Cricetulus griseus: one gene and its partners. The protein of the gene in region 2 interacts with the protein of the main gene of each other region in a pairwise test. Links are inferred from orthologs where the notes say so. Each region holds a gene or a part of one and is shown on either strand. Other genes may lie near its edges. The genes, in order: Trir, Snrpa, Qki and leukocyte receptor cluster member 8 homolog.

Region 1 (4,173 bases), on a different chromosome or scaffold from region 2:
ACAGGGGAAATGAGTCTGCCACATCCCTGTGCAGGCTGGAAGTCTGACTTATTTTCCTCCTGAGTTGACACTTGGGGACAATGGACGCTGTATTTTCCCGTTTTATGCGTCGAAGGTTCCCCTTGGTGAACTTTCGCCTGCAGTTTTCTAAGAATTCCCCTGCCTTGTGAGCGTAGTGGTGTGACCCACGGTAGTGCCCTTCACTGATTGGGTCCTCCGTCTTGCGGCACTCTTTCCATTGGCTGCATCCCGTCTTACTTCCGCTAGCCACGCTCAAGTCCCTGTGGGCGTCAACCTCTGTCTCCTTAGCAACCAGCCAAACATCCTGTCTAAGCTCTTTGAACGAAGTTACAGCAGAGGTGTCTCTTGCCTCGATTCTATAGGCTCCGTTTCCTGATTATCTTTTCCCTCTTTCTTTCTGCTTTGGACCTCAACGTCTCTTCTTGTCCGCCAGTTACTCTGTTGGCTGTGAGCCACCTGACTCCGGCCGCAAAACGATCACGAACGAAATGGTTAGTAGGGTCGCTAAAAGGCAAAGAGACTCCATTTGTGGCAGAGCACGCAGACCTTTGTCCCGTGTGCCCGGAATACCCATGCTGGGCAGGAGTGCTATTTGTCACAGTCGAGAGAACTTTAACTTCCGAAACTCTAGCTGCGCTTGGCGCTCTGCTCACCCCCATCCCCGTGCACACGTGTGTGCTCCAAGTCTAGCCAGTGCTGTCTGAACTGAGTCCCTGTCCTCGGGGAAGAGTACGAGGAGGGTTCTTAGTCCCTTGGTGCAGAACCCAGCTCAGAACATTAAGTCTTAAGAGAAGGATCAGGCTGGAAATATCTCCGGCTTCATTTGAGTGCTCAACTTGTAAAATACTACGACTCTCAGACAGGGCGTCTAGCTGCACGCAGCCAGCAGTATCCTTACTTAAAGGTAAGAGATTAAATGCCGAGGCAGATGCCCGGTCTAGAGAAGCTCCCGTTTCTAATAGGAGGTGCCGAGTCAGACAGATATGCTTTCTAGACCTAGTTAGGGGCCACCCAAGTTCCCAAGTGTACGCAAACAACATTCTTTCAATTACAGAGTTCTGGTGGCCGACTATGATTGTGCTCTCAGCCTTTAGAGGGATCGCGGGCCCCAGACGATGGTTCCATTCTGTCTGGCAGGATTAGGGAAATCCGAGGAACAGAAGGCAAGGAACCCGGCTTCTAGGCTCCACCCACTGGTCGCCAGGTCAGAGCACCTTTGCCCCGCCCAAGTCCCGCCCACTCCGCGTTGGCTTCTGGGATCAGACCTCTCTTCCCAGCATGCAGTGCTCCAGACGAAGCCAGTCCCGCGCCAAGCGCGCGGTCTGAGATCCTTTCCCGAAGTCCCTTGCGCGGCACCTGGCGACAAAATGGCTGCCCGAGGGAGACGGGCGGAGCCTCCGAGTCGGGAGGTGCCCGGCCCGGCGGGCGGCGGCAGGAGCCGATGGGCTGAGTCGGGGCCGGGAACGTCACCCGAGAGCGGGGACGACGAGGTGTCGGGCTCAAGTCCGGTGTCCGGTGGTGTGAACTTGTTCGCCAACGACGGCAGCTTCCTGGAGCTGTTCAAGCGGAAGATGGAGGAGGAGCAGCGGCAGCGGCAGGAGGAGCCACCCCCGGGCCCGCAGCGACCCGACCCATCGGCCTCCGCCGCGGCGGGCCCTGGGAATCCGAAGAGGAAGGGCGGCCCAGGCCCCACGCTCAGCTTCGTAAGGAGCCGCGGGGGTGGGGGCGGGCGCCGGGGCCCGTGTTGGCAGGGGGAGTCGGACCCGGGAAGGGGCGTCATGGTCCAAGGCAGTTCTCCGCCGGGATGCCCCGACGGTCCCGGTCGTTTGCTGAGAACGTTGTACCTGGATTCCGGACGAGAGGTGTTTCTGGGAGGTCGTGGGAACCCCCAGATCTTACTCGTGGAACCTGGGAACCGGGAATTGCATTGGAAGCAGCACTCTGGGGATAGGAGACCCTAGATGCTAGGATTCCTGTTTGATTTGTACCCAGACTTTGATTAGTGGGTACCCAAACACAATCTGGGGAAAAGGAAGGGACAAATTCAAATTTTGAGTCTGCTGCATTCGTTAGACTCAGACCACGGACCGTAGCCGGGCGTGGTGGCACACGCCTTGCAATACCAGCACTCCGGATTCAAGAAGATTGAGGATTGGAAAGTGAGATCCTGTCCGAATTAAACAAAACCAACCAACAAGAAAAAGCAAATCACTGACTTTGTGGCCTTAGGAAGATCATTCGATTCCTTTCTATATCATTTAACTATTTTCCGTTAATTGAGCACCTTGTGCTGGGTATTCAGTGGTGAATTTGACAGAAAAGATCGCTGTTTGTTTGGAGCCTGGGTTGCCTACCCTGATTTTCTGTAGTTCTAACAATTGCCGTAATTTCACCTTTTAATGTGAGTATTCCATAGAAAAGTCAGTACAGACTCTACAGAAAGAACTAGACCAGTGGTTCTCTATTGGGGACAAGTCTCCTCACCCTTGTGTATTTATTTGGTAAAGTCTGTAGACATTTTGGTTGTTAAAACTCTGAGAGGAGATGCTAGTGACATCTATGGGTAGGTACAAGGATGCTGTTCAATATCCTACAGTGCATGGGATAACAAAGAATGATCTAGCTGAAAATGTCTAGAGTACCAGGTTGAGGAGCTCTGAGTTAAATAAATTGGATATATAATTTTTGTTAGTTGTGAGCTTGCTTTGTCTCCGGTGTTGAGTTAGAGGTCCTATAGTGGGGAGGGAGAAATGTTGGTTTGAGGATGACATTGAGGGTCAAGTCCTGGATCCAGCTCTGTGGTTTGGGGCAAGGCTTAAGTTTCTTTAGCTCTTAAAAGGGTATGTGAGCCAGACAAGGCAATGCATATGTGTAATCAATCCTAGCACTGTGGAGGATGAGACAGGAGGATTGCAGAGTTTGAGTTCAGCCAAGGTTACATAGCAATAACTTGTTTCTAAAAACAACGAAAAGGCTATGTTTGAGTGGTTGGGTACAGTAGTGTGTTTCTATAATCTCGGCTACTCTGAGACCAGAGGATCTTAAGAACAGAATGAATTCAGAGCCAGCCTGAGCAATTTAGTGAGACCTGTCTTAAAATAAAATCAAGAGGTCTGGGAATTTAGCTCCATAGTAGATAGCTTCAAGTGCTTGAGACCCTAGATTGCATCTGCAGTGCTACACGAAAAGTTGTGATTGGGGAGGAGATAGTCCCAGCACTAACTGATGTCTAGTTGAAGGGTGAGTACAGGATGATGTCTTGGAGGCCCTCAGTTAAGGGGAGAAGATGGTTTACCAAGGTTCCCATCTGTTCTTAGAGGAAGTAGAAAGTGATAGGACTTAGGTTGATGTGATGTTTAAGAGTAGAGGATGAAATCTTTTCCAGGAATGGGAGCAGCAGTAGTGTTACTGTTATTTCTATTTGTTCAGGAGTAGCCATTATAGTTACACTCCTCAAAAAGCCAGGCCAGCTAGGTGGTGGTGGTGGTGGTGGTGGTGGTGGTGGTGGTGGTGGTGGTGGTGGTGGTGGTGGTGGTTCTGCTGCTGATGCTGCTGCTGATGCTGCCGCACGCCTTTAATCCCAGCATTGGAGGCAGAGGCAGGCAGATCTCTGAGTTCAAGGCCAGCCTGGTCTACAGAATGAGTTCCAGAACAACCAGGACTGTTTTATAGAGAAACCTTATCTTCAAAAAACAATAACAACAAAAAAGCAAGGCGGGAGATTTAGGGGTGTGGTTCAGGATGCTCCCACTGGCTTTGCACCACTGTATCCCTGGTTTTGCTCCCTTGTTTGCAGTCTGCCCTGTCCCTCCCAGACACTTGTCTCTATCTCTAAAAGTTACTATCTTTCAAATAATGTAACTGAATGTGAGAGGAGATACCATGGACACAGCACTCTGTGTGTGATATATAAGGCTGGGTATATAGTGAAGCTCAATAAAGGTATTGCCACCCATGTGATCCCTGCCAGGACAGGGTCAGGCCTGGGCAGAAAGAGTGAGGGCGTAGCCAGTCCCCAGTAAGGTGAGCACTCCTCTGGCCCCCTGGGAGGGTAGCCTGGGGCCCAGGACTGCCTGGGCATGGCAGCCCAGGGCAGGTGCTGAGTCGAGTGTGCTCCTCTCTGATTGCTGCGCAGGTCGGCTGGCTGGAGGA
Region 2 (4,296 bases):
AGGCATGAGCCATCATGCTCAGTGTCTTGATCATTTTGTGTCCCCACAGCCCCAGATTAAGGAACACTGAAAGTAAAGGACCAAGCAAGAAAAGTAGCATCCTCACGGAACACTACAGGCCACACCCACCCAGCTTCCTACAGCCTCCATAGTCAAGATGCTCACCATGGGCTTGTCGTAGAAGGGGAAACCCTGCATGGAACGCAGGGCATTCGTGGCGCTGCTGACCTCCTTGAAGATGACAAAGGCCTGGCCCCTCATCTTCAGGCTCCGAGACACCAGGATATCCAGGATCTGGCCAAACTGGGAGAAGATGGCATACAGGGACTTCTTGAGCTCTGCATTCAGGGAAAACAAGACACACTGTAACAAAAGGCCTGGGCACTGTGTCCTGGGACCTGCACTAACTATCCTTGGATGATGAACAGTTCAAACAAGGGGCCACTGCCAAGTGACAAATTACCCAGAATGCTACAGCACTACAACCCACATTCATACACACACACACACACACACACAATAAATACATAAAAATACTTGCTTCTGTTTACTATTTGTATGTGTGCTAGAATTCAGCCTTTGTAGAAAAGTAAACATTCTACTCCAGGACCTTACTTCCAGGCAAGAACGGAATTATTTGGTGTGGGGTTTTGTTTAAAATTGTACAACCTTGGGACTGGAGAGATGGCTCAGAGGTTAAGAGCACCGACCGCTCTTCCAGAGGTCCTGAGTTCAATTCCCAGCAACCACATGGTGGCTCACAACCATCCGTTATGAGATCTGGTGCCCTCTTCTGGTGTGCAGACATACACAGAAGCAGAATGTTGTATACACAATAAACAAATAAAAATTGTACAACCTTTAAATATATAGTTGTTTTGAGACAAGGTTTTTGGTTTTTTTTTTTATTTTAATTAGGAAGAAAATTACATGTCAATCCCAGGTCCCTTTCTCCCCCCCCCCCTCCTCCCCTGACACCCTCCACGCCCCCCCCCATCCGGAACTAACTCTGTAGACCAGGCCAACCTCAAACTCAGAGATCTGCCTGCCTCTGCCTCCCAAGTGGTGGGATTAAAGGCGTGAGCCAGCCCAAAATATTTTTATTTTATGTGCGTGGGTTATTTTGCCTGCAGATGCTAGAAGAGGATGTCATATGCCCTGGAACTGGAGTTACACATTATAAACCTCCCTTGAGTGCTAGGAATCAAACTCAGGTCTTCTGGAAGAGCAGGCAGTACTCTTAACCACTGAGCCATCTCACCAGGCCAAGTAGGTTTCTTAGTTGCTGAGGTTCAGAACCCAGAGCCTTACCCATGCTAGGCAAGACTACTTGTATTCCTCAGACCTTTTGGAGTCAGGGTCTTGCTATGTACCCTGGGCTGGTCTGAAGTCAAGATTCTCCTGTCTCAGTCTCCTGAGTACTGGGATTACAGGCCTACACCACCACACCCAAAGAAACTGTCTTTGGTATCTTTTTCACTCATTGTGATCATGCAGCCATCTGGGAGTTACTCTGGGAGTCCCTTTCCCTAAGTAACAGAATTACAGCCATCTGCCATTCAAGCAGTTCAAGAATTTGCTTAACAGAACCGCACACTTGTGTCCCAACCATTTTTTTCTTGGTATTTGATCACGGGCAAGTACTACCACCCAAATTCCAATTTCTTAATCTTGAGAGGCTTGTTGAGAATTAAATATCTCCAAGACTACAGAACATTGTTACATAGCATTCATTACCCGTCACTTCTATACGTTCTTTGCATCGTAACTCATCACCAAGACCAACGCCCAGAGGCCAGTGGCCAAGAGACAGTCTCATGATAGCAGACTGCGCTGGGCTTGAGGGAGAGAAAGATCCCAAAGGGCTTCCCAGAAAGGAAGGGCCGGTGAGCTAAAACCTTGAAGATTATCGACAGTGTGCAGGTTAAAGAGCAGAGTGTAAAGTGGTTAAGGGTGTATTGAGAACCAAGGGCTCAGTAGGTACAAAAGGCCAAAGTTAACTCTTAAAGGACTCAATGGCAAGGCTGAGAAAGGAAAGTGGGCGCTAGAGGTGGAAGGGGTCAGCTCATGCGAGATCACCTAGAGTTCCGGGCTATCCCGGAGGACTTACCATCCTTCTTGATCTTCTCATTGAGGTTGTTGATATAAATAGTGTGGTTGGGACGGGTCTCAGGAACTGCCATGGTGTCAGATGCTCAGAAACGGCTTAAAGGGAGAAAAAGAGGCGACTTCAGCTCTCTAACGCTTTCCAAAACTCTCTGTTCAGGGGGCTGACGGGCTCTGCTCAGGGATCCTTCCAGGAGGAAGTTGGGTGAGACCGGAATTGGGGAAGAATGGCACAGCTTGGCAACAAAGCCCGCGTAGGACTCCGCTTCTCCAGCCCGCGTGCTGGGGGGGGGGAGGACTACGAATCCCAGAATGCTCTGCGAGCCTGTACCCAGCGGCGATCCCCATTGGTCCACGCGCTCGAACGGCGTCCAAGGAGGAAAAAAAAAAAAAAAAAAGGAACCCGGATGTGGGAGCCAGTTAAGACAGCAGGGACCGATTTGGGACACCTTCGTCTCTCCAAGAGGGGCCTCCGGAAGCGACGCGGCCGAAGGCCCGACGCCAAGTGCTCCGCCCGCCTCCCCAGCGCCCGCGGGCGTCTCCACCGCGGGAATTCACCACCTGGACCGCCGCGCCTGCCACGCCACTCCGCTCGGACACACAGCTTCCCGTCCCCGGCCGCGAGACGCTGACGGCGCGCGAACTCGGCAGGCGGCGACCGCCCCGAGTGAGAGCCTCTTCCCCGGCCTCAGCGCCCGCCCGCGAAAGGGACACGCGGCTTCCCGCCTCAGCACTAGTCCCCGCCCCCTCCCCAGGTGAGCAGACCAATCAAAGGAGGCGACGAGCTCTGGGCCAATCGGGACCTCGCTAGCGCGCCAGCGCAGGCTGCCCTCTCCGAAGCCACGCCTCTTCCCCTTCCGCCAGTACCGGGGGGGGGGGGGGTCACGTGGCCGCCGGGCCGCGTCGGGAGAGCCTGGCCGGGTCAAGGCCGCTCGTTTCCCTCCGCGGGGAGCGTGTACAAGTTCCTAAGTTCCCGCTCCTTAGGCGACCCTTGACCGCTGTGCCTGCTGTCAACTCTGACCGCTGCCCACCGCTAGGCTGCTTTCCCAGCCGCGTGCCCTTTTAACCTCATGACCTCTAAGCTCCTAAGATCGACCCTAAGGTTGCAGACTCGAGCCGGAGATGTGAGATGAGGCGGGTTACCCCACGCCTTACCCCCGATCTGAGCGCCCTGAGATGTGAGATGAGGCGGGTTACCCCACGCCTTACCCCCGATCTCAGCCCCCTGATTACAGAGATGTGAGATGAGGCCGGTTACCCCACGCCTTACTCCCCCCCCCCCCGATCTGAGCCCCCTGATTACGGAAATGAAGAAAACTAGCTAGCTCTAGTCCCTCCCAATGTCGCTCCATCCCCATGGCACAGCCCGCACCTTGGGGGAGCCTTCTTCTTCGTCATTTGATTCAGCCCAGTTTCTGTTCCCACGGTTTGAAATACCCACCCAGGTTCTCCCAGACCAACTGGTCAGGCACCGTATTCTGCAATTCAACTCTAATTTTTTTTTTAAACTCTTTGTAATTTTTAATACAGGTTTCTATGTGCGGGCCACATGTGAATACCACATCCAGTTGCTCTAAAAACTGAAGTCTCCATCCTTGAGAGATTTGAGAGGATCCCCCTTCTCACCCTCACATCAGCTCTTCCTGAAGACCCGACATGACGTCTTTCCCCTTAAAGCCCACAGTCCCCCCAGTAATCCCCGAACCCCAAGACGCCAGCATTCCACCTCCTTTACCCCCAAGTACCCTGGACTTAGCTTCGCCATCCCCTTCTGTCCCGCCGCCGCCGCCGCCTCCACCCCCACCCCCACCCTTGGCTGTGGAGGTTGTTTCCCCTCATGTCTACGGCCTGGAGAAGAGCCGGCTCCTGAAGGAGGCCTTGGAGAAGGCTGGCCCAGTCCCCAAAGGCAGAGAAGACGTAAAGAGGCTCCTGATGCTGCACAAGGACCGGTAGGGTTTGCAAACCCCCAGCACCCCAGGACTCATCCAACCACCTGTCTCCAAATCACCCCGCCTACCCCATCTCCCAGGGTTCCCATTTCCTTGATCTCAAGCAGCCAGGTGCCTTAAGCCTCCTACCTAGCTCTTCCCTGCTTGGCCTCTAGCAATAGAGAGAGCAGCTCCTGCTCATTCTTGGTTCTAAGCCAGTGATAGTGCCTCTGCCCTTCCAGACAGCGATTCCCAGAGTAGC
Region 3 (4,059 bases), on a different chromosome or scaffold from region 2:
AACAAGTAGAAGAAAAAAAAAAAGAACACTTCATTCCCAAAGTTGTTAGTCAACTGAAAATTCTCAAACAGGAACTATATTAAAAGCTCACTGCTTGAAAGTATTTTAAAAATAAAATTGCTAGACAGTCCCATTCAAAATTTCTAACTATCAGAGAATAGAATATCTCAATGCCATTGAACAATTTAATCCCTAAAGTGAAACTTAGTTTTATCTGAATTTAAAAGTAATCTTTCTGCCAAGCATTACAGACAAAGGAGAGTGTAATCCCTAACCACAAACACAAGTCATGATTAATTTGTTTTTGGACAATGAGAGGCCACAAGGGGGTAAAGCACAAGTTGCCAATTTTCACAATTAAGTCATCTAGCAAGAAAATTATGATCTTGCACTTAAGAAACCAGTATTTTCAAGTCAAATTAAATTTATAATAAGACTAGCAAGTACAGGAAAAGGCTTATAACACATTAAGGACTAGCCCCTGTCCTGCAACATTTGCTCTGATATGATTAAAACAATCACACTTCCTATTCATTCTGAGGTCTATTGTAAACACACTACCTACAAGCATGGAAGTTCTCTGTATACTGGCCTAATGCAGACTCCTGAGTACAGAAGGCAGACTGAGGTGAAAGATGGAGAAAACAGGAAAAGGAAAGAAACAAATATTATTTTGAATACTGTAATCCTAAACTAGCTTTCTTTTACATTTGGAACACAAAGGGTTACTATTTCTAACTAGAGAGTAATAAACAAGCCTGTGCAGAAATAATGACATAATTGAAATTCCTCCAGCTGACTTATGCCAACCTCAAACTAAGGTGGTTATATCTGATCAGTCTGAAAGACTACATGAGCAGCCTTTTACAACTAATCGAGGAAACTCCTATAGTATTTCCAAACTTTTTATGATCTCAATATGTCACTTGAGTATACGGAGAACTTTAAGAATGCATATTAATCCATTTTAAATGCTGTCTAGGCGTGTAAGAGATTCCCCATACACTGTACTTTTAAAAAACTATAATTTTCATCATAAATTTCACAGTAATACCATGAAAACAACACACCAAGTGAAAAAATAACAGTAAATTAGGTGTTGTCTCTGAAATCACATTTGTGGATAAATAATGACAGGTGAAGTCACCTAAAATTTAAATTTCTACTGAACTTAATATAGGTCAGATTTTTAAGCATGCTAGACATTTTGTTCCAAACATTCCAAGGTTAAAAAAAAATAGCTGGCGCCCCTTAGCGCTCACATTTGGAAATACTCAATTGAAGAGTTCCAGCACACACACACCCTCCTTTTTTTTTTTTTTTTTTTTTTTTTTTTTTGACATTCCAGAAAGTTTTCTGCCTCCACAATCTTTCAAATGCCAACACAAATAGGCAAAACCCCTTAAAGGGGCAGCACAACTTTCCTCCGAGGCGTCTGAGACTAACAGACACGCGGACCCAAAAGTAGGAAATGTCCCTTTCGACTTGTTACTGTTGTATGCATGTTCAGGCGTCATAACTGAGCGCTTTCTGCCTCAAGTCCTGCCTATGGCTCCCCACCCAAAAGAAGCTCGCTCTTAGCTCGGAGGTATTCAAAGTCTTTTGTTCTTCCCTGATATGCCTGCTCCTTGAGCATAAATTTTGATTTCTCTAGCTGTATTTGAAAATATTTCGAGATTCTTCTCAAGATGCTAAAATCCACTGTTCATCCGCACATCAGCACAGTTTTCCGCTTCCTTCAGACAGCCCCCCGCCTGGAGACTTTTAAAAACAAAAGGGAAACTCCCCGCTACACGGTTTTCAAAGCGGACTTGTTGGTCCTCCTGCCCCACAGGCCGCCCCGGGAATCCGCGGAAACCCACGGCTCCTGGGAACTAACACTCCAGGTCGCTGCTGAGAGAAGTTCTTAGAGGACTGCCAGAGCTGACCAGCATGCATCTTCTAGCCACTCTTCGCTCCCTGCAGCGCTCCCAACTCGGCTTCTGCAAACTTGCGCTCTATTTTATTCCCGTCCTTTCAAACTTCCAGCTCCCCGCCCCAGGGACGCGGGCGGCTACGCCTGGAGCTAACCCTCCGCCCCAGTGAGTTCTTCCGAACTCGGATTCCGTTCAGGTCTGTCATCGCGGTATTTCATACTCCTCCCCCCGCCACCCAAAAAAAAAAAAAAAAAGTGAAGTTAAACTCCCAAACAGTTCTCGCTTCCCTAAACAAAGGACAAAAAAAGTGCTGTGCTCTGTGTCAGCTCGTGCTCGCCTTCGGCCACATAAGCACTACTTTTCGGTACCCTACGTAATCTGTGGACACCCGAAGAGTCCACTCCTGTACCGCGGGCCACACAACTCCACTGAGACGGGCACCCCCAGCCGGGGCCCCGCGGGCGAGGCGAGGCAGAGCTCGCGTGGCCCGGCCAGATCGGTCGGGATGGCGGGGTGTCTATCTGCCGCGCCGTCGGGAGCTGGCCGCAGCCCCGCCGCCCCGCCGCCCTGCCGCCCGCGAGCTCCGGGTCCGCCCTCGGGCCTGCCCCGGCCCTGGCCCCGACCCGCCGCGAGCCGCCCGCGCCGCCTTTGTGCGCCCGCCCGCCTGACCTTCCCGCCGCCCCGCCATCCCGGGCCGCCGCGCCCGCCCGCTCGCCCGCGGGGGTCGAGAGGCTCACCTTCGTCCAGCAGCCGCTCGAGGTGGTTGAAGATCCCGCAGAAGTTGGGCAGGCTGCTCATGAGCTTCTTGTCGTTCATCAGCTGCATCAAGTAATCTGGGGTGGGCTTCGGCTTCTCCTTCGTTTCCATTTCCCCGACCATATTCCAGGCTCCGCAGCTCACTCCGCCCGCGCCGCCGCCGCCGCGCGCCGCCGGAGGAGGAGAGAGGAGGAGGAGAGGAGGGAGGGGCGGGGCGAGCTCCGGCCGCCGGCCGCTCGGACGCGGCGTCCCGCTCCGCGCCGACTCCGCTCCGGCTCCCGCGCCGAGCCCCGGGGCGGCCGGCTCCGCGCGCCCGCCCGCCCCCCCGCAGGCACTTTCGCCCGGCCCGACGCGCCGCGGCCGCCGCTCCTCGGCCGCCCGGCGCGGCTCCCCTCGCGAGGCCGGCGGCGGAGGCGGGTCTCGGGGCCGAGCGCGGCGCGGGGCCGCTGCGCCGCGAGGAGTCGAGGGGCCGCTCGTCGGCCGGTCGCGCCGCCTGCGCCGAAGCTCGCGAGTCTGCGGTGCTGTCCGCCGCGGCGCCCCCGCGTTGCCGCCGCCGCCGCCGCCGCTCCGACTGCCGCTCCTCCTCTTCCTCCGCGGCTCTCCTCCTCCTCACTCACTTGGCGGCGGAGTTCGCCTCAGTTCAGGCGGCGCTGCCGGCGGCGGCGGGGGGAGGGGCGCGGGCAGGGCCGGGGGCGGGCGGCGGGCCGGGCGCGCAGGGCGGCCGTTACGGGGCTAGGCGCGCTCCCGCCCCCCGCCGCCGCCGGCGCCCCTGCCCCTGGCCGCTCGGGCGGGACGGACGGACGGCCGGCTGGTGGCCGAGGGCCGGGCCGCGGCTGAGGGGGACGCGCGCCGGCTGCGGCGGCCTGCGCGGGGCCGGGGTCGCGGCTGAGGGGACGCGGGCGGCGGCGCTGGCTCGTCGGCGCGCTGTTGCTGAGGCGGCGGGCGCGGTCGGGCGCGTCGGCTGAGAGGAATTCCGGCGGGACTATGCGCGGGCGCTGCGCTCGCCGCCGCCCTGGCCTCGCCTCTCGGCGCGTTACTATAGTTTGAGGGGATTTTTTTCTCTCTCTTTTTTTTTTTAAAACCTCTTCGTCCACCTTCCTCGCCACCCCTCAGGAAAAGAAAAAAAGGAGAATTTTTTTTTTTTTTAACGTCCTGTTGCTTCACTGGGGGCACTCTCGGGTGGGCATCACGTGGCCCGACACGTAGCCGTGAGGCCGAGGGCGCGTGCGCGCGTCGAGGGCTGTGGCCACGCCCCTTCCGAGGGTCGCCCCGCCCTATCGGCCGGAGAGCGCGCCTGCGTGGGGGGCGAGGGGGGGCAGCGGCGGTGGCCTCTGGACCGAGAAGCGGGCCGGAACCGTTCTGGCGCGGCGCCCACCCGGCGGGGCGG
Region 4 (4,089 bases), about 14 Mb from region 2:
TTGCAAGTTCAGTTCCCAGCACCCATGTCAGGTGGCTCACAGACACCTCTAACTTCAGCTCCAAGGGATCTAATGCCTCTTCTGACCTCCGTGTGTATGAATGCCCCACCCGCCATGGAAAGCTCATCCTAGCCCCCAGAATATGGATTTCTTTTTCCAGGCAGGTACAGGTCCCATTGTGTCTTGCTCCTCTTTCCTACCAAAATGGGCTGTGTTTCCCTTAGCCCTACTAACCAATCTGCGCTGCGCTGATCACCCACGTTGGCCGCCATCTGGACCTTGGGGTGTAGGGGGTAGACCTCGGGAGCCAGACTGCTTTTTCACTGTCTGTAAGAGAAAAGATGAGTTAGGCCAGCATTGGTGGCACACGCCTTTAATCCCAGCACTCGGGAGGCAGAGGCAGAGGCAGAGGCAGAGGCAGAGGCAGAGGCAGAGGCAGAGGCAGAGGCAGAGGCAGAGGGATCTCTGTGAGTTTGAGACCAGCCTGGTCTACTAGAACTAGTTCCCGGATAGTCTCCAAAGCCACAGAAACCCTGCCTTGAAAAACAAAAAACAAAACAAAAAAAAAAAAAAAAAAAACAAAACAAAACAAAAAACAAAAAGAAAAGAAAAAAGATGAGTTAGGAAGACCCAAAGAAGCGAGTATGTTGGATCCCATAAAAAGAACAGGCAGGAAAGACAGAGTATCTCACAGAAGGAAGCACTGGCAAAGTGTGAAAGAGAATTCAAGCACCGTAACCTATGTCTGCAATCCCAGCACTCTTTGGGAGTTGAGGGCCCTGCTTGGTCAAGTGTTGAAATCCTGTCTCTAAAACAAACAGCCAAAAGAGTGGAACAAAGAGCCTTGAGCATGAAGACACTGAATTCCCTAAAACACAGGGTGTCAGAATAAAAGACAGAGGAGATGGTGAAACTGTCATTCGAAGAGCAGATGAGGGGAACCCAGGCCCGGGGATGGATGGGGAGACCTCAGTCCTGGGCAGGGATCTAAAGAGAATCCCCAGAGTACTGACATGGATCCGCCTGCCTCTGCCTCACCACCACCTGGGCTTTGACAGGGATTCTGGGCTGGTGGCGGTGGGAGGAAGGCATCCCAGCAAGTAAAGTCTTAATAATCAGTCAATAAAGTATTAGCTATCCAGAAGTCTGGCAAGACTCAAGTTTCTAAGGAGCATGGAGCGGAGACTTCGAGGAGAACACTGGAGAACAGAGCCAAGTTCCCCCAAGGAAAGGGACCTCTCTGGATCCCACTGAGGAGCTTCACAAAGGGGAGGTGGGGAAGGCTCTCCCTGTGGGAAGGAGGCACTGGCTGTCAGCACCTCAAGCAATTCGAGTCCCCAGAGGACAGAGAGGAAACCCAGTATGGGTTGTTCCTAGGCACAGGAGCTGCTCTGGGAGAAACAACAGGCAACCCCTTGGGGAGGGTGTCTGCAGATAACCCTTCCTTTCTTCCTTCCTTCCTTCCTTCCAGGATGCCCCTGTGGGTAGGACTATGTACGTGTGTGTGTGTGTGTGTGTGTGTGTGTGTGTGTGTGTGTGTGTGTGTGTGTGTGTGTGTGTGTGTGTGTGTGTGTGTGTTGTGTGTACATGGACTGGACGGTGGACAGTCCTGAAAGAAACGTGAAAAAGACTGGGGGGAGGGGGGCTCCGGGGACCCAAACGATAGGATTTACAGAGAATAAGTCCATTGAAGAACCCGGTATCTTACAGGAAGCCTAAGGAGCGCTGAAAGGCCTCAACGAGCTTTCTAAAATAAATAAATAAATATGACAGGCCTCAAAGAGCTTTCTAAATCAATCAATCAATCAATCAGGCCTCAGAGAGCTCTCTAAATAAATAAATAAATATGACAGGCCTCAGAGAGCTTTCTAAATAAATAAATAAATACGACAGGCCTCAGAGAGCTTTCTAAATAAATAAATAAGACAGGCCTCAGAGAGCTTTCTGAATAAATAAATAAATAGACAGGCCTCAGAGAGCTTTCTAAATAAATAAATAAACAAATGACTGTTGGGTGGAGCCGGGGGTGGGGGTGTCAGAACTCGGGGTGCAGGCGGGAGAGCATCAGGAGTGAGGCCTGGGGTGGGAGGGGGACAAGGGGTCTGACGGGCAAGGACGACACGGGCTCTTATTACAAAGACTCAGGAGCACCTGGCTGTCCCGCAGGCACGGGGGTCCCCGACACCCGGTGGAGGAGACAGAGGCCGCCCTGAACCCACGCGACGCCCCCCAAGCTGCCAGCCCCGGTCCCCGCCCGTCCGCGGCCAGCAGCCAGCAGCCAGCAGCAGCCAGCATCCACCAGCCCGGCCCGGCCGCGCCTGCGCACCACCACGCCGCCCGAGGGCCTCGCTCCGGGTTGCCCGGGGCAACGGGGCGGCGCGCGTAACAGCCGGTCAATGGGGAGGGGCGGGGCCGCCCAGGGGCGCGTGTGCGCACGCGCGGGGGCGGCGAGGGGGAGGGGCCCGCCGGTTACGCGCGCGCGCGCCTCGCCCGACCCCCCCCCGCCTCAACCCCCTCCCCCCCCTCCCGTCACCGCACAGCGCGCATGCGCGGCGGCCACACCCTTGGCGGAGGCTGGGTGCGGCGTCGGTTAGGCTCCCCCAGCAGGCCCGGGCTCGCCGGGAGCGGCGCCGGGAGGAGTTGCCTGCGCCCGCCCGTCCCGCCCGCCCGTCCGTCCCCGCCGCTCCTCACACTCACCAGGGCCGCTCGCTCCCGGGGTTCGTCACCGGCGGCCACCAAGGCGGCGACAAGACAACCGCGAAAAGCGCTCGGTCACCGGCCGGCTCGGCTGGGGCTGCAACGTCCTGGCCGCGACGCGATGGCGTCACCGCGACGCCCCGCCCCGCCCCGCGACGCCTCGCCCTCCGGCCGTCCCGACGCCCGCCCGCCCCCGCCCCCGCCCTCACCCGGCGCCGCGCACAGCCAATGGGGTGTCACGGCTCGCTCGGGGACCCCGCCCTCCGCCCGGCGCGCCCCGCCCACGCCCGGGCAAGCGTGTGGGCGTTTGGTGGGCGAGCCGGAAGCGGGGCGTGGACGGCGGCCCCGTGGGGACAAGCGCCGCGGGCGCTCGCGGTTAAGACGGTCTAGTTTGGAGCCTAGTCTTTAGTCGTGAGCTGTGCAGCGCCACGGCTTAGTTTGTTTGTCTGTCTGTCTGTCTGTGTTTAAAGGAGTGGGATGAGTCTTTGAGTCTGTCTTGGGGATGAGTCTTCCCCACCCGGTAGGCTTTGCTGAGTGAGTAAACCTGGCTGGCGTGGGCAACAGTGAGTGCGAGCCCAAGCAAGCGGGAAACAAGCCATCCATTGAGGAGCCGGAGGAGCCTCGGGGCTGCGACGCCGGAAAGGTAGCTGGGGCGCAGGTGTAGGGAGAGGAAGCCTACAGAGCCGGCTCACAGTAGGATTTTTTTTTTTTTTTTTTTGTCTTTTTATTTTTTGGTTTTTGAGATACGGTTTCTCTGTGTAGCTTTGGAGCCTATCCTGGAACCCGCCCTGTAGACCAGGCTGATCTCGAACTCACAGAGATCCCCCTGCCTCTGCCTCTGCCTCCCCAGTGCTGGGATTAAAGGCGAGCATCGCCACCAACGCCCAGCTCACAATAGGCTTTCCTTAAAGCTCTCAGTTTACAACAGCAATGATTGAATTGTGCCGTCCCAGTAGGGGATCCCTGTTAAAATCAGTCAATGAAACAGTACCTTACAGCCCGGCTTCTGCTCCCAGTTGGTACTGGCGACTTTTGGCAACTATGCAACACAAATAGCTTTGTATCATTTTGTTACTATTAGCACGCTAGGGTTTCTTCCCATCTCTCTCTCTCTCTCTCTCTCTCTCTCTCTCTCTCTCTCTCTCTCTCTGTGTGTGTCTCTTTCGTGTTTTTTTTAATAATGAACTTTTATTTTAGAATAAATTTGGGTTTACAGGGGAAAAAAGTTGCAGAGATAATACAGGAGTTAGGTGTAGTGTGTGCCCAGTTTCCCCTATTGCTACCACCTCGGATTCACCACGGTTTATTGGTTAAAAGTAAGAAACTGACATTGCTTTAATACTCTGCACTAAGCCGCAGATTTCACTTAGACTTCAATGCTTTTTTCATTAA

The links.
Region 1: the proteins of Snrpa (region 2) and Trir interact in binary tests that used the Homo sapiens proteins (3 or more experiments, as listed by UniProt). The link is inferred for Cricetulus griseus from reciprocal best matches to the Homo sapiens genes SNRPA and TRIR.
Region 3: the proteins of Snrpa (region 2) and Qki interact in binary tests that used the Homo sapiens proteins (3 or more experiments, as listed by UniProt). The link is inferred for Cricetulus griseus from reciprocal best matches to the Homo sapiens genes SNRPA and QKI.
Region 4: the proteins of Snrpa (region 2) and leukocyte receptor cluster member 8 homolog interact in binary tests that used the Homo sapiens proteins (3 or more experiments, as listed by UniProt). The two-hybrid records come from large-scale screens. The link is inferred for Cricetulus griseus from reciprocal best matches to the Homo sapiens genes SNRPA and LENG8.

What each region holds. Positions count from the first base shown.
Region 1 is NC_048596.1:159,339,243-159,343,415, reverse strand, and holds the start of Trir (telomerase RNA component interacting RNase), read left to right. Parts: upstream 1-1,316; 5' UTR 1,317-1,388; coding exon 1,389-1,724; intron 1,725-4,156; coding exon of another isoform or gene 4,157-4,173. UniProt on the Homo sapiens protein: Exoribonuclease that is part of the telomerase RNA 3' end processing complex and which has the ability to cleave all four unpaired RNA nucleotides from the 5' end or 3' end with higher efficiency for purine bases.
Region 2 is NC_048602.1:8,724,505-8,728,800, reverse strand, and holds the start of Snrpa (U1 small nuclear ribonucleoprotein A), read right to left. Parts: upstream 2,809-4,296; 5' UTR 2,668-2,808; intron 2,206-2,667; 5' UTR 2,184-2,205; coding exon 2,111-2,183; intron 339-2,110; coding exon 166-338; intron 1-165. Other genes in the region: CUNH19orf54 (UPF0692 protein C19orf54 homolog), read left to right, coding at 3,763-4,055. UniProt on the Homo sapiens protein: Component of the spliceosomal U1 snRNP, which is essential for recognition of the pre-mRNA 5' splice-site and the subsequent assembly of the spliceosome. U1 snRNP is the first snRNP to interact with pre-mRNA.
Region 3 is NC_048595.1:290,489,474-290,493,532, reverse strand, and holds the start of Qki (protein quaking), read right to left. Parts: upstream 2,840-4,059; 5' UTR 2,796-2,839; coding exon 2,654-2,795; intron 1-2,653. UniProt on the Homo sapiens protein: RNA reader protein, which recognizes and binds specific RNAs, thereby regulating RNA metabolic processes, such as pre-mRNA splicing, circular RNA (circRNA) formation, mRNA export, mRNA stability and/or translation.
Region 4 is NC_048602.1:22,406,945-22,411,033, reverse strand, and holds the start of leukocyte receptor cluster member 8 homolog, read right to left. Parts: upstream 2,840-4,089; 5' UTR 2,698-2,839; intron 328-2,697; 5' UTR 273-327; coding exon 235-272; intron 1-234.